Linked DNA regions of Saccharomyces cerevisiae S288C. The gene in region 1 interacts genetically with each later gene. Each region holds a gene or a part of one and is shown in the gene's direction. Other genes may lie near its edges. The genes, in order: AXL1, RAX1, BUD8 and YEA6.

Region 1 (6,175 bases):
GTTTATGCTGTAGACAAAGTTAAGGATAAGATAACAGCAGCAGAGGGTTCTATTTATAGTGAATGGTGTGATACTTGCGCGTCTTCATTTTGCTACCAAGCTGTGCTTGAAGGTGAAAGGCTCATGAATCACATCTTGGAAACATATCCTCCAGATCAACTTGATTCTTTGGTGACGATCTTTGCAAGAGGTTGTGAATTAGAAACTAATTTCTGGACCGCCGCCATGGAATACGAATGATAGTTACAATATTTTTAACAGAATATATAAAATACATATACAGAAATGATAAACTATAAACGCAAAAGATTAGCGATACGAAAAAAGGATTTCTCGCTATTATATCAATTTATAAAGAGATCCTTTGGAAATATAAATTATGTTCATTTCATTTTTTCAACTTCTAGAAGGATGACTAACTATTGTTTCCATTTGCTAGCATGGTAAATTAATACATTTTTGAATTTGCTGCTAGGGTACAATACCATGCAATGTTTATAATATAAATCAAAGTGACAGAGATTCCTAAAAGCTAAAACAAATCCATTGATAATATAATAGTAGGTTGGTCAATTCACCGCAGATTCAATGTAAGTATTGATACTCCATAAATGTTAACTTCAGGTTGATATTCGTTACAAAAATCTTAGTTTGCTTTTCATTACTATCTGAACGGAATGCTCAACATTTTTCTTATTCTACAATTGTACAATGTCACGTAAACAGTTTGATTTGTGTATTTACAGTGGAAACATTTTACTTGTTGGCAATAGTACATGCGCAGATAATCAAAAACCATTGTTTCCGACATTATTTCTGACAATTGCTTGAATTTGCTGAACACTTTTCGAGGTACATTCTGATAAAGAGTGCATTATTAGTTATTTAGAGTATATTAAGACATCTTCTCGAAGATATATAAATTCGTAAAGGAAACAAAAATTTCGGGATAACAAAAAAGTTTCTTCTTTTTACGTATTAAATGGTCTATTCATCGATCCTATTTCACTATCAATCCTATTATATTATCAACTTTTGCATTTCTGCTTCCACCAAAGTCGACGGCTGTTTCTCATCGTTTATGTAATATCATAACGCATGTATGACATTATATCAGTGGCATGAGCGCTAGTCCATGAAATAGGAGTTTAACTCCAACATACGGAACATTCGCATTATCGCACACGTAAGACTCGATATATTAAGGAAGGAATTTCCGAGTTGGATTAATAAAGGAAAAATAAAATATAGTGTTGGAAATATAGTTGCCTCAGAATAATATCAATATAATATTAAAACGTATATAGTTAGATACCCGGTATTATTCGAGTACGCATTAATTCAGCAGTATGACTTTCTGTGCCTGCTTATATATTGTAACCGTATGTTGTTCTACCTTAAAAATTTGCTAAATTGAAGGAATTGACTATCGTCACTGAAGAGTATTCGTATTATGGTATTATGATACATTGTCTAAAAAAAGGATACCATTTTTCTTCAATAGAACAAGAAGAGAATCTAAGGACACCATTTCGAGAAATAGTTTACACAGTATATCCAATAACTCCAATAAACTACTTTCCTATACAAATTTCCGATGGTTGGATTAATAGTAAAACTTCTATACTTCTTTCATCCATCAAGAAATTAAGGTAAACATCTGGTAAGCACTATCCAACTTTTTTCTGTTACACATATGGTTTTTCTGCAATCATTTCTTCCCACTTTGCATGAGTAAGTGTCCCATTTTGTCTCAAGCCGTTAATCTTGAAACCGCAGGCGGAGTTACTTGATGCGGTATTTTACATGCCTTTTTTCACTGCAAGAAAAAAATGAAACACTTATTTACACGATTTTCAGGATAGTTTACGCTGGTGAGTATGCAGAACAGTTAACACCTTTGTTTTATCCTTTTGTGTCTTGATTATATAATATAAATGTGCCTGGCGTTAAAAAATAGCAACTGAATAAGTTTTTTTACTGATGTCCTTGAGAGAAGTAACTAATTATGAAGTCTCGTTTTACATCCCGTTGTCTTACAGCAACAGGACTCATAAAGTTTGTAAACTGCCAAACGGAATTTTAGCATTAATAATATCGGATCCAACAGATACTTCAAGCTCATGCTCACTGACTGTTTGCACAGGTTCCCATAACGATCCAAAGGATATTGCCGGTTTGGCGCACCTTTGTGAGCACATGATTCTTTCTGCCGGTTCCAAAAAATACCCTGATCCTGGTTTATTCCACACACTAATCGCAAAAAACAACGGCTCTCAAAATGCCTTTACCACAGGGGAGCAAACGACTTTTTATTTTGAATTGCCCAATACTCAAAATAACGGCGAATTTACATTTGAATCTATCTTAGATGTGTTTGCCTCATTCTTCAAAGAACCGCTCTTCAACCCTTTACTGATAAGCAAGGAGATATATGCAATACAAAGTGAGCATGAGGGAAACATATCATCAACCACAAAAATATTCTACCACGCAGCAAGAATATTGGCCAATCCCGACCATCCTTTCAGTCGCTTTTCCACTGGGAACATACACTCGTTATCTAGCATTCCACAACTGAAAAAAATAAAACTAAAGAGCTCATTAAACACTTACTTCGAAAATAATTTTTTTGGGGAGAATATAACCTTGTGCATAAGGGGACCGCAGTCTGTTAATATTCTTACGAAACTAGCTCTATCAAAATTTGGCGATATAAAACCCAAAAGCGCTGTAAAGGAAAGGAGTATATCGATTAGGACGAGGTCATTTCGAAGATCGAAGTCTTTAAAAAAACGCCAAGATTCTTCCAAAAACGACTACAGTGACTTGAAAACCTTTAAAATACTGAACACAACGTGGGAAAAAAAATACAAAAATACGATGTGTTTTCAACAATTTCCTGAATGCAATTCGATATTTATCAATTCAAATAAGGTACCTATAATGAGACTTCTCTTTCCTGTTAGCGATAAAAACACTCGGTTTACAAAGGATGACATTAAAATATACAGTCATCTTTGGTGTGAACTTTTCGGCGATGAGTCTCCAGGATCTTTGAGCTATTACTTAGCTTCAAAAGGCTGGCTCACAGGCTGTTTTGCCTTTACCTCAGAATTCGCTATTGGTGACATAGGATTAATTTTGGAATTAGAACTGACAAACAGTGGCTGGGAAAATATTAAGAGAATTACGACAATAGTACTTAATAGACTCTTGCCTTCCTTTTACGTAATGAACATCGATTACTTAATCACTTTTTTGAAAGAACAGAATTTGATCGACCTCGTTAGCTTTCTGTACCAAAGTTCAGAGGATCTTCCAATGGAAGAGTGCTCAAAATTAAGCGGTATTCTTCAGGACGATTTAGAATGTTTAACCCCCCCTAATATATTCAAAGGATTTAAATCTCTTATAGAAATAGATGATCCCAACATCGAAAAATATGAAAACACAAAGGCCAATATACAATGGTGGACAGGGCAAGCTATTAAGTTCCAAAATTTTTTAAAATCTTTCATGAATCATGACAACATGCGCCTTTTACTCTTAGGGAATATAAAATCTGGTAATATATTTGATAAAATGAAAAATAAAAGTGATATATGCACCGATTTTTTCTATGAATTTGAGTATTATACGGCAAACGTTCATCTAGCAAGTGATAATAAATTTCATTCAAACAGCTCGTATGAATTTAATTTTCCCACAGGTAATCTTTTTTTACCAGATTGCGTCAGCGATCCTTTAAAACTACAACAGCTCTTCTTAGAATGCTCGTTAAAATCGAAATTTGCTACGCTTAGACCTCAAATTTATAGTGAGCCCACTAGGACAAAGCCTCAATTAGTCAGTGAGAACCAGAATTATGAGATGTGGATCTTAAAAGAAGACCCAAATTTTGCCTCAGACAATAAATCCGTCGTATCATTTGAAGTTTTGGGGTTAGGCATCAAACCTAGTCCGGAGGCAACAATCCACCTGGAAGTACTAGCACAGGCATTATTTATCATCACCTCTTCATTCCTTTATCCCGCTCTGAGAATTGGTTACACATATGAGATTGCCTCATCTAGTAAGGGCAACGTAACACTGCGATTTACTATTTCTGGATTCCCTGAGGGTGTTTTCACAATAGTAAAGACGTTCGTGGATACGCTAAAACTTATTGCAACAGATCCAACGTTTCTTTCTAAAGATACCTTGAGAAAGGCAAGGATTTTAGTTAGAAATAAATACAAGAACGCGTCATCGGACAACTGCGTGAAGCTAGCTAGCGTTGGATTGCTGATTGTTTTAGAGAAATATATATGGACTTTAGAGGATAGAATTAATGCATTAGAGCTTACCGAGTTGGAATCCTTCGAAAAATTTTGTTTTTTATTCTGGAGGAATCCTAAACATTTGGTCTTGTTCATGCAGGGAAGCCTTGAATATGCTGACGCAATCAACCGTTACTTAAATAACAATTTTACGCAGCACCTAAAAATCAGCAATGAAGGGAGCAAACCGACCATACGTCTCTACCCTCCTCCCAGTACAAAAGATCTAGATCAAGGCACAAATGCCTTTATATCATATAATGGTCACCAGGATGATCCCAACAATAGTATTGTGTATTTTATTCAGACTGCACAAAGAGATGACATCAAAAATCTGACACTAACCTTTCTTACCGAATATCTATTTTCACTAACGCTAGTGCCTGATCTAAGAAATAAAAAGCAAATTGGGTACATTGTTTTGGGAGGACTCAGGGTTTTAACAGACACTGTTGGGATTCATATAACCGTAATGTCTGGCAGCTCGGGGCACAATCTGGAAACTAGGATCAATGAGTACTTATCTTACTTGCAGCTGCAGGTGCTAAATAGATTCACCGAGTTTGATTTTCGAAGGATACTTCTAGAGCCGTTCTTAAATCTTTTAAAACAGAACAGTACGAAACAGTTTGAAGGGTCGGCTGGTCCTGTAGACCTATTAAATGAGATAGTGGCAAATGTGCAAAATGGTGATAATTACACTCTCAACAATAAACAAATGAGACAACATAGGAAGGTAAGAAATAAAATTGCGGAAGGAAGGCTTAATTTTCAAGAAGATCATGAAATGATTGATATCTCATTTTTGCAAAAATTAACTCTAAAGAAATATTTAGCATTCTTCGAGTCCAAAATCTCTATATATTCCGCTCAAAGAAGTAAGCTATCAATAATGATCACAAGTCCAATGGCAGAGAAGGAAATTGCAAGCAGGAAAATGTTCCTTCAGCTAGAGGCCTTTCTGAAAATAAACGGATTCGCCATAAAAAATGAAGACTTGAAGAAAATTGTCGAACATTCAAAGGGAAATCCTATTTTACTTGTAAAGAACCTTTTTACTTATTTTCGTAGGAGAAATGAAGTTTTCAAGCTCGGAACCGTTGTATTGCAGGAAATATTGAAAATCATCGGAATGAATCTTAAGCAGAGATACGGCTCTATATTAGGGTTTTCTTCCCAAGATGGTGAAGGACAAGAAATAGAAAAATTTTGGAACAACGACACAAGTCCGATTGTTCCTCTTCAGGAGCTTCCTGAACCAAACTTTTTCCGCAAGGCCGCATTTTGAACCGTATTTTGCTCGTTCCAGCCTTTCCACGTTTTTGTTATCTAAGCAACTTGGCACATTTCCCTACTATACTACAAACCGATACGTAAATACTTCCCTAAATAGCATATGAATTATTCAGTAATTTTTAAGGATCGAAACTGCACCTCAACTATTCGTTACTGTGGTTATGTTCTCATGTATTGATGCAAATCATGGGATATTTGCTCAAGACGACGGTAAAATGAGCAAAAATGGCACGATCCTGAAAAGAGCACTTTTCAAGATTCGGGCTACAAAATGCAACATAAAAAATGTTGTATTGTCATCTCGAGAGGGTCTTGTATGTTTTATTCCTCTTATGATTAGTTCACATTAGTAAAACAGATACGCAGTGTGCTCTTAATAAACAACTACTCCATAGCTTTATTTGCATAACAAAACTTTTAAGCACAAACTTAAACAGGTGGAGTAATAGTTCGGCGGCGACTCAAATTACATTTGTTGGAAGAATCGAATAGAAAATAAAAAAAAGTGTATTATATTTGACATTCAAAATGGAAGGTATGAATATGGGTAGCAGCAT
Region 2 (3,526 bases), on another chromosome or scaffold:
ACACTAATAACTATTTGGTAGAAACACTCGTTGAGATAGTTAAGCTGACTCGTAATGTTAGCAGGGCGGAAATAATGTTGAAGAATCTGGCTACCGACAACCCTGAGGCGATCATAATACTAATCAAGATCTTTTTGGTGTGTGATCAAGAATTAGACGCAATAAAGCTCACATACGATATGCTTTCGCAGGATAAAATAATAAACAACACTAATAACCGCATGGATTATAAATCTGAATTACTGTGCTTACAAGCGCAATTTTTGATAGACAAAAGGCAGGATTACAGCTTGGCGCAAAACATAGCGCAAGAGGCAGTCAATTGTTCTCCCAGTGAATTTAGACCTTGGTATCTTTTATCCAAGGTGTATGTAAAGCTAAATGATATTGAAAATGCCTTACTGATACTGAATTCATGCCCTATGTCTCCATTAAAGGAAAAATACGTACTGAAAAGAGTAGCTCCGTTGCCTTCGAATAATAGTCTTCATTTGCCATTGCCAATTGACGTTGTACTGGATGAAGTGACGTCGTTGAATCCACAAGACGTTCAGAATGAACACCGCTCTGCGGATCCAATGCTGGTCAATTTAGCTGCGTCGAACTTGAAATCTACTTTCCAATTGGCATACCGATTATTGACAGAAATTGTGCAGATCACCGGCTGGGAAAATCTGTTAAAGTACAGATCAAACATTTTCGTTATGGAAGAAGAGTACCAAAAATCATCATCTTCGTTACCAAAGGACGTTAACAAACAAGAAGAACAGCCTCTGAGGGCTAAACGGCTGTGTGAACGATGGTTAGACAACCTCTTCATGCTTTTATATGAAGACCTGAAGATGTATACATTATGGCAAACCGAACAACTGTACATGGATGCACAGAATAACAACCACAATAAGTTGACTTTCGAATGGGAGTTATTTGGCCTTTGTGCACGTCGACTGGGCCATTTCCCTGAGGCCGCCAAGGCCTTCCAGAACGGTTTATCGCAGAGATTTTCATCAAGGTGCGCGAGGAAACTGCTGGAATATTGTATAAACGAACGCCAACGGGTCAAAAATTTTATAAACTCACCTAATTCGCATGACATGGTCCCTGAAATAGTAAGCTCACGCATAAGAGAGCTAGACAATAGCATTATCGACCTTTGCGTGAAGATATGCTGCTGGAACCACCGTTGGTATACGGAATTTTCCATAAGTTTACTTGATTGTTTAAGTGTGGTTATTCAAGATATGAGTCTGACCAAAGTTTCGAATGAAATCTCGTCAAGATATCCAGAAACTGTTCTCAACTTGGTGCAGGAGAATTTGCTCAATTTCTTCACTACTTGCACCATTGGATGCTACGATGCATAAATACGATAAAAAGACATTAATACGTATATATAATCCAAAAAAAATTGGCGATACGCTTCAACGTTGTGTCAAACTCTTGGGTCACTTTAAAGAAAACCCAGCATACATTAATACAGAGCAATGCTGGTTATGTAACTTCGCCGCCCGCCGCCATTCGAGGAAAAATATTCGTGTTTCGAGAATGCGGGCAAAACGAAAATATCAATAAAACACATACGGGAAATTCATTGTGCACAACGACCTCTAACAATTTCTGCCAAAAAGAAAGTTCAAGAGCGTCCCATTCATCATGAAGGAAGAGCTCAGCAAAGTGAGCAGTATGCAAAATTTCGAGATGATCCAGCGTGAACGATTGCCAACATTGTATGAAGTGTTAATACAGAGGACATCGCAGCCAGTTGATCTCTGGACTTTTTATACATTTCTTTCACAATTCCCATATGCCATCAACTATCTGGACTTTTGGGTTGACCTTATGACACATACACGACTTTGCAAAAACTACATAGAGTTGGTAAGAAAATCATTAATCAACTTTCCACAAGAACAACAGCAGAATGGAAGTACATCTACGGCTACATTTGACTTGCTGAACGCACTGATAGAAGAAGGGCACCTAGACCCGGAAGCACCTGATAAACTCTTAGAAAATAGCGGCCCAGACGTGCCCTTTTCACCAAAATTAAACGAATTGCTGGGTGATTGGAAGCACCAATCGGGTATCGGTCAAGAAGCCCTGAGAAACGAAGACGTAGCGCTGATCGTCGACGAGATAATGAAAAGGCGCTCCCAACAAGACGGAAAACCGCAGATAACTACAAAACAACTGCTGCACAGCGCAGTTGGTCTCTGCAACACCTATTTAGTATCGCCCGAACAAAGCGAACGGTACCTGAGCAACATCCCCATGGAAACGCGGAACCGCATAATAGAAAGCGTACAAATCGAGCGAAAGTACGACATTGAGATTTTTGACGACCTAAAAAACCTAACTTACCAATTCCTAGAAATGGATTGTTTCCCAAAATTTCTAAGCCGCGTCGCACTACACAACATCCACGATGAAATATCTGATTGGAGATTCCACTCAGTGGGCGTCACCAACGAAAAAAGCAATCGCTCTCGAGGCCAGACGCACATTTCTCGCTCGCCATTCTCCAATCACACGTCAATCAGTCGTATTGGCTTTGGTTTGCTCTGGCTAGGCATCGGCTTTTGGATCGGATATGTTCTAATCTTCCTGGCGTATAGTCGCGCAATCCGTGTCGTTACGGTCGTGCCATTTACACTGGGATGCTACTGCATTGTGTGTGGCATGTATCAAGTGGACATTGTGTATTCCTGGTTTGGCGTCACACAGAGACTTCTCCACAGACACAAAAACGCTGGCAATGACGAAGGAGATGCTTCTAGTGATACCGATCACGTGCCAATGATACTTGCGGTGTTCGGCGGTAGGCGCCGTCTTACCCGCATAGAGCACCCATTTACTCGGCAGCTTCTACGTAAGCGTGGACTGTGGTGTCTGCTTCTCGTAGTGGGTGCCACTGCCGCATTCACAGTTATTTTCAGCTGTGTTCCCGGCCGTCGTGTATGATGTAATCCATCACCCCCCTATAAAAACACCTGTGCACCGCATATTTCCATAGCGCGTGACGCTAAGTACAAGAAACAGCGAGGGGCCGTTAAGTGCAGGCTTTACCGAGGGCGCCGGCTGGCGCTTCCCGTGGAAGGGTGTTTGACTCATCATCGCATCGCATTACCTCATGATGAGTAAATAGTTGCGATTTCACTTATCACCTCTCGCGGAAAAAAAAGGCGATGACATGATATATAAGGCTCTCTCGTAAGACACTTAACTATCCAACGTTCATTAGATTATTCGGTCAATTTCTTTTTTCATGCCCCTCCTTTTTCTTTTCTTTTCTTGACTCGTCGTTTCTTTTTCTTTTTTTTTTTTTTTTTTTTCTTCAGAACTATAACACATAGATACACTCGAACATCTAATTGTTTAAATACTGCAAAGAATACAAGGTAATCGACTCTTCTACATACCCTTTTTGCAGATTTGAAATAAAAAAAACATTATATGTTTAGCTTATCGAACTCTCAATACACCTGCCAAGACTACATATCTGACCACATCTGGAAAACTAGCTCCC
Region 3 (4,226 bases), on another chromosome or scaffold:
AAATTATTGCATACAGATATAAAAACCCAAATTCGGTAATTAAAGATATTTCAACAGCAGAACAAGTAAAGTGGAAATGTTACATTGATTCTTCTTATGGTAGGAGATATTGGTTATATAAGACTGATCCTTTCCTGAATCGTGATGACTTGGATTCTAAGTCAAATTTAACTAGGTATGATTTTGAGGGTCACAAAATCATAGAAATTATAAACCAGCCGGATTTCCTAAAGTTTGCCCAAAGTAAAATCATGCTTGGATGTGGTCTAGTTCCTCAAAGTGGTATTAGACGTAAACTATGTTACAGAGATTTAAAGCCACCAGTTTCTCAATTCTTAAATAGAAAAGGTGCGATCAGCCTTGGTGATACTCCACTACCAATAATTACCCCAACATTACCTCGTGGTGGGTGGAGAATCATCCATAATGAGGACGACAACAACAGTCATGTGGAAGATAGCCAAAATCACGTGAATGCCATCCCAAGAAGGAATTCTCTGTTGAGCAGACCCACTTTAAGAAGCAACAATGGTTCTTCCTCTGCCAACCCCTTTGCTATCAATGTTTCTCCTGCATCTCAAATCAGGGATGGTTTGTACTGGGATAGGTCGGTCCATGATTTACGTGAGCTATCATTGCAAGAACAAAGAATTCAGGAGTTAGCTGATGAGCAGCAGGAACTAAGAACAATCGCAAACTTTGAAGAGACTGACGACGAATATTTGCACGATCCCGACTTGCAACGGAGAAGGTCCCAACTTCACTTATTTGAAAGTTCGCGCTCACGTTCAGGAAATAAAACAAGACCAAGTTTAACTGGTGAACACTCGTCCTCGGCATCGTTTCTATCCTTCTCCCACTTCAACCACCTTCACAAGCGTAAGAATTATTATTTCACGCATCCCGATGAATTTGTCTATGATCCAAAGGATCCTCTGACGACTCAAAGATATAGATTACATTTTGAAATAGTCAACGAATATCAAGTTTTTGGGTGCATTGAGCGTGGAATGTATAGATACTACAGTTTAAAAGCATAGATATTTTTCTCTTTACTTCCTTACCCTTCCTCCGCTCTCGTCTTGTGTCTTGTATATGATTTCTATATATGGTAAAATATTGCATACATCGTCTACCATTTAGCCAGACTTTTCGGAAACGAATTTAATGATTGCAGCAAATTCCCTTCCCCTATCAACTGATTGAAGAATGCCTCGAAACGCAATGTGATTTTTAAGTTTTCCATTTTTTTTTTTTTCATAAGGGAAGCCTCTCTCCTCCGAAAAAGGTAAACATTGCGAAAAATGATCCAAAAGAGAGAATAAAAAAACAATTAGAAAATGATTTACTCATCCGCTTACTAGAGAGGCCAAACCGGATAGTCCTGACGCTAATAAGAGTAGGATTAAGTTCATTGTGGTGTGTTTTTTTATTGCGCGTAAGCGATACCTGCAAAATTCATTATAATTTTCAATCACCTTCCATCAATTATCAATACCCCATACTAAGAACAGGCAATTGGTTTAGGAAGGAAAATAATAAAGATATCCAAAAACAACTGGAAGCTTTCCAGTCGCGACCTCTGTTTTGTTCGAACTTCTAGTTAACAAAAGAAAGACCATTCAATTGCTTTTTTAATATTCATTATTGACGATTTTTATTTCTAGGCGATTACCGGTATACTTTTCATTCTTTTGATAAGATAATAAATCCAATTACATTCGCTTATTTTAATTCAATTTAGACTATAACTTTCTCTTAACTCTAGGAGTTTCTTTCTTGAATCGAAGCATTTTTGACAATACCCAATATCCTCTTTCTACTTGAGAATTTTTTCGATTCTACATGAAGTATGATACAATCAGACGAAGATAATTTGGACTCTTCTGAAACGACAGCATCAACTTCATATAGTGGTACTTCCTCTGTATCATCCAGACTACAACTAAGAACATCCTTGTTTTTTGAAAATCTTAATGGAGCACATGGGAACCCCGATGCGGAGACAGAGATGGCTACTGTTGCCTATGAAACCACAAGTAGAGGTCAAGGATTTGCTGTATACATCAACAATGAAAGGTTTTCTCAAATAATGGGAGCATCCACAAGCTCTAGCTCTAGTAGCAACTCGTCCTCTATTACACAATTTCACGATACCCAAGATAATAATATACCAAGCAACACTACTGTAAGGCCAACTTCACTTCGACGAGACAACGAGGATACCGTACCGTTAAGGAACGTAACTCCTTCACAAAACGCGGCGGTACGGCCAGAAAGAGCAGTGAATTCACCATCTTCGCAGAGATTAAGTTGCGCACTGACAATATCAACTTCAGTTCTTATGGGAGAAGATGTTGAAGGAAGCCCTATAGAGCAAGAGCATAGTAGGGTCGTATCTTCATTATACTCATCTTTGGCGAATCGCGGGAACGACGAGTCAAAGAATGGAACACCTCCACGTCCTACCTCAATTGAACCTAATGAAACAACGGAACACTCATTTTTCTCATACCATTACGATGACACCTTAGAACCAGATGTTGAAGAGGCAGTGAGGCTAACGAAGAATAAAACTTCTAATGTTAATTTTATAAGCTCAACTGGCAGTAAAGGTGAAGGCGAGACCGAGGATGAAGTCATAGATCAATACGAACCTGTGAATGAATCAAAATTTATACCGCACAAACTAAAAATTCCAGAGAAGGCTGGATCAATAAAGTCGTCGACAAGTGATGATTCGCATTCGCCAGGTGCGCCAGGTACGTCGGCAAGGAAGATTAAAATTCCTCAGAGTCCATCGTTAATTGGTAACATATTGATTCCTTCACACAATAGTGACAGTAGTAACGAAAGTTCTCCTAAAGACCATATAGGGCATAATAATGAAGAAAAATTCAGTTCAAAATCTACGCGCAAGCCCTCCACATCCCTAGAAGAAGAAGGTCCACCAATTGGACTACCTTCAATTCCCGTATTAAGAAGTGTGTCCGGACCAAGCAAATGGACGAAGACACCTTTACGCTTAGAATCTGGAAATTCAACTAAGTCTGATCCATTTTCACGCTATGAAGGACACAAGACGCCCTCTCCATTGACCAAGATGAACAAGAAGAAAAATAAAACGTTGCCAGAACATGGACAACCCCTCGTGCTAGCTCCAATTAAATCTCAAAGCTCGGAGTCAGACACGGGACAGAACTCCATTATAGAAAAGCCAGCTCGAAGCATACGACGAAAGCAACAAGAAAAAACTGATAATAGGAAAGAAGACAGGCACGATGCTGAAAATATAGACCTGGAGGCGAGAATGCCAATTCAACATATCGATACCGCTTCCATTCATTCGTTTGATTCAGGTCAAAATGGATTCAGGGACGTTTACAGCATCGAAAACATCATTGTGATCCTCCTATGTTGTAGTATAGTGCCGCCATTATTTTTTATTATTGGCTGCAGCTCAAGAAGGAAATTAGTTTCAGACTATAGATTAATGAGGTTGCTTATGAATAAAGAACACCGAGCGGCTTTGCTGCAAGGATTCATATGGGACGTTGATTTAAGGTGGTTCCGGATGTTTTGTCTGATCTTAGGGGCTGCCGAAACAGTGATTGTGATGGCCGGTATTGCTATTGGATTTGGTGTGGGTATAACACGTGAATAAGAAACTGTATCATTCATCAAATAGGATAAAAAATAAAAAACTGTTCTGTCTCGTTAAAGTCATATATATAAATAGGGGATTTTCATTAATTTATATATATAGATATACTTGTGTACATGTACCCGTAAGTATCAAAAGAAACGTGCATAAGGACATGGCCTAAATTAATATTTCCGAGATACTTCCTTAAGCGGTAACTTTCTTTTCAATCAAGTCGAATAGAGTAACAATATCGGCAGAGAATTTTCTGATACCTTCGGACAATTTTTCAGTGGCCATAGCGTCTTCATTCAAGTCGAATCTGAATTTAGATTCGTCGCTGATGTAAGAAATCTTGTCGCCGGCTTCCTTCTTAGCGGAGACAGGGTCCAAAACTCTTGGGAAAGGTTCAGTACTGTTCATCAACTTGTCCAATAAAGCTGGAGAAATTGTTAGATAGTCAACACCAGCCAAGTTTTTGATTTCGTCAGTGCTTCTGAAAGAAGCACCCATAACAATAGTCTTGTAACCGTACTTCTTGTAGTAGTTGTAGATTTTCTTGACGGAAATAACACCTGGGTCG
Region 4 (3,257 bases), on another chromosome or scaffold:
AGGCAACGTGAAAAACAATTCCACTACCACCGGTAATGGTCCTAATAATATAAACAATAAAAGCAACTCTTCCACTCCCCTGAATACTGTTATTTCCACGAATAACAATAGTGCTAATATAAATGCTGCTGGCAGTAATCAATTTACTAGTGCAAACAAAAATTATTATTATAAAAATGATGAAAGCTCTGGATACCCAATCACTCAATTTGCTCCCGCATTACCATCAACAACTTTGATGTATACGGCGAATCCACCTTATATCACTCAATCTCCTGATAACACTAACGCTACTGGTATGAATACACATGTTAATAATAACAATAATAATAGTAATAACAGTAGTAATAGTAATAATAGTAACAATAATAATAATAATAATAATAATAATAATAATAACAATAATAATAATATTAATAATATTAATAATGTCAATACTAATGCAGGGAACGGTAACAATCCAAATAGATTCCATAACGCCTCTTTTGCTTATAACACCACCGGTGACTTTATTAATCCGCAACAACAAGGACAAATTTCTTATCCATTTTATTATACAACAATTCCGATAAACAATCCTAACTATTATACCACACAACCTCCAAACCCTGTAACAAACGCTTCAACGAACGAGAATCAAGGCTATTCCACCTCCTCAACTCAACACCCTTATTATGGGCATCCTACTGAAAGTCAATCAGCATCAGCAGCCGCAGGCGCTACTGGCACTCCTGGTACAGCCGAGAATGTCCTTCCCGTATCCAGTATGCAGCCACTACTCCATCAAGCCAATAATAATAGTGCAAGCTCTGCTACCTCTACAGCTCCTTATCCGGTGTATTCTATGAATGTGAATGTTCCTTATTACAATTCTTCTGCTTCTGCATACAAGAGGGCACAAGAAAATACTACTTCAAATACGAATGCAGAACCTTCTGGTGCTACAAGCACTAACTCAGGCACCATGCTATCAAATCCTGCATACGCTAATTCTCAGTACACTCCATCGCAAGTGTATTACCAGGGATTCCCCCAATATGCCATGGCAAGTGCTCAAAATCCGTCTATGTATCAACACCAGCACCAACATCCTTTGCCCACTGTATATCCAATAGCGACGCCTCAACAAAATATAATGAGCTCTGGTCACACTTTGAGCACTATTGGATCTGATCCTCAACATCATCACTATCAACAAGAGCCCAACGACCACAAAAACTTCGCTATGGGTCACGCGAACAATAATATCTTAAACATCACCAATAATGATACGATGAACAACCTCAATACAAACACTTCAACTACTACACAATAAGTAAATATATTTTAAAAAAGTACTCCGATTTTCTTTTCTTCTCCTTGCCTTTTTGAGTATCGGGTTTACTCATGAAAATTATATCATTTTTCATTTTACAGTTTTATATACTTCGCTTCTTTACGTAATCATGCCTTTAATTTCATCTTCATTTGCCTATGGAAAAAAGCTATTCCTTTTGACATCATAAAATATCTTTATTAAAGAATCCCCTCTGTCAACATTTTCTACGAAAGATAGCTTAGTGTATTTTTTGAAGATGCTGTCGAAAATGATTCTCGACATACTCGCGCTGGTGGAAAAATGAAGTGGAAAAGATAAGCAAATTGATATATAAGCAAATAAACATATAATTTGGACGTACATCGAAATTAGTTGTTCTCAACTTATTTTCATTGTTTGATGAAAAGCGGAATATACATCACGGCTATATAATGAATAATGGAGACAATAAAACGACATTAGAAAACTCAAAAAATGCGTCACTAGCTAATGGAAATTATGCGATTCCCACAAAACTAAATAGGCTGAAAAAGAATGCTGACCCTAGAGTTGCTGCAATTTCAGGTGCTTTATCTGGTGCACTATCCGCAATGCTGGTCTGTCCTTTTGACGTTGCGAAAACAAGATTACAAGCACAAGGTCTCCAAAACATGACACACCAAAGTCAACATTATAAGGGGTTTTTTGGTACATTTGCTACTATTTTCAAGGATGAAGGTGCTGCTGGGCTTTATAAAGGTCTACAGCCGACGGTTTTAGGTTATATTCCTACTTTGATGATTTACTTTTCCGTCTATGATTTCTGTAGAAAATATTCGGTCGATATTTTCCCACATAGTCCGTTTCTCTCAAACGCTTCTTCTGCAATTACTGCAGGTGCCATCTCTACAGTTGCGACAAATCCGATTTGGGTAGTAAAAACAAGACTTATGCTGCAAACAGGTATCGGTAAATATTCCACCCATTATAAGGGTACCATAGACACATTTAGAAAGATCATTCAACAAGAGGGTGCTAAGGCTCTTTATGCCGGCTTAGTACCAGCCCTGCTGGGGATGCTGAACGTTGCTATACAGTTTCCTTTATATGAAAATTTAAAAATAAGGTTCGGATATTCAGAATCGACTGACGTATCGACAGATGTGACGAGCTCAAACTTTCAAAAATTAATATTGGCCTCTATGCTATCTAAAATGGTAGCATCTACCGTGACTTATCCTCACGAAATACTTCGAACTCGAATGCAACTGAAATCCGATCTTCCAAATACTGTTCAACGCCATCTCCTTCCATTGATTAAAATTACGTATAGGCAAGAGGGCTTCGCCGGCTTTTACTCTGGGTTTGCAACTAATTTGGTAAGGACAGTACCTGCTGCTGTGGTAACACTAGTATCGTTTGAATATTCTAAAAAGTATTTAACTACTTTTTTTCAATAAAGTGAAACAGAAAAATGTACATGACACAAGCTGAGGGTCGTAAAAAGCATCTTTCGCAATTGTTTCAACCTCATGACCCCTGTCTTGACTATGTATTCCTCTTTACGTCGGGCTACTCGCAAAATCAAGTAGTTTTAAACCTTTAGTATGTTGCAAATAAAGAGCAAAAAAAGAATTTATTCATCCCAGGAATCTCACTACATTTCGTAGGGGAAGAAATGTAGATTTGAGGTTCATTTGGCTCGTGAGAACGACTTGAACCTTATTCATACTTTATATAATATTTTAGGAGTATTGTAGCATTATGTATATTTTTCTTGCGGGTGTGCACTGCCGAAATAGCTGCTGAATATCCAGATTAAAAAACTAAACAAAAAACTGTTTCTTGTTCGAATAGTAAAAGAAGGTTTTCCCAAATGCTATTGTTATTTAGAAACGCTGGAAATACAGTATTTTTTGAAGAACTATCCGTTTTACCCGAACCTATTTTAATTCAATTC

What was found.
Region 2: of AXL1 (region 1) and RAX1, a mutation in one rescues a mutant of the other (synthetic rescue), as found in Saccharomyces cerevisiae (one study listed by BioGRID).
Region 3: of AXL1 (region 1) and BUD8, a mutation in one rescues a mutant of the other (synthetic rescue), as found in Saccharomyces cerevisiae (one study listed by BioGRID).
Region 4: mutations in AXL1 (region 1) and YEA6 together harm fitness more than expected from each alone (negative genetic interaction), as found in Saccharomyces cerevisiae (2 studies listed by BioGRID).

Annotation. Positions count from the first base shown.
Region 1 is NC_001148.4:780,062-786,236, forward strand, and holds AXL1 (Axl1p), read left to right. Parts: upstream 1-1,983; coding exon 1,984-5,610; downstream 5,611-6,175. Other genes in the region: THI22 (putative phosphomethylpyrimidine kinase), read left to right, coding at 1-240; high-affinity Cu transporter CTR1, read left to right, coding at 6,147-6,175. UniProt on the Saccharomyces cerevisiae protein: Probable protease. Involved in axial budding.
Region 2 is NC_001147.6:879,312-882,837, forward strand, and holds RAX1 (Rax1p), read left to right. Parts: upstream 1-1,653; coding exon 1,654-2,961; downstream 2,962-3,526. Other genes in the region: BUD7 (exomer complex subunit), read left to right, coding at 1-1,364; YOR302W (uncharacterized protein), read left to right, coding at 3,454-3,526. UniProt on the Saccharomyces cerevisiae protein: Required for the establishment of the bipolar budding pattern. Involved in selecting bud sites at both the distal and proximal poles of daughter cells as well as near previously used division sites on mother cells.
Region 3 is NC_001144.5:832,500-836,725, forward strand, and holds BUD8 (Bud8p), read left to right. Parts: upstream 1-1,852; coding exon 1,853-3,664; downstream 3,665-4,226. Other genes in the region: LUG1 (Lug1p), read left to right, coding at 1-1,040; sedoheptulose-7-phosphate:D-glyceraldehyde-3-phosphate transaldolase TAL1, read right to left, coding at 3,851-4,226. UniProt on the Saccharomyces cerevisiae protein: Involved in positioning the distal bud pole signal.
Region 4 is NC_001137.3:142,578-145,834, forward strand, and holds YEA6 (NAD+ transporter), read left to right. Parts: upstream 1-1,749; coding exon 1,750-2,757; downstream 2,758-3,257. Other genes in the region: MIT1 (Mit1p), read left to right, coding at 1-1,315.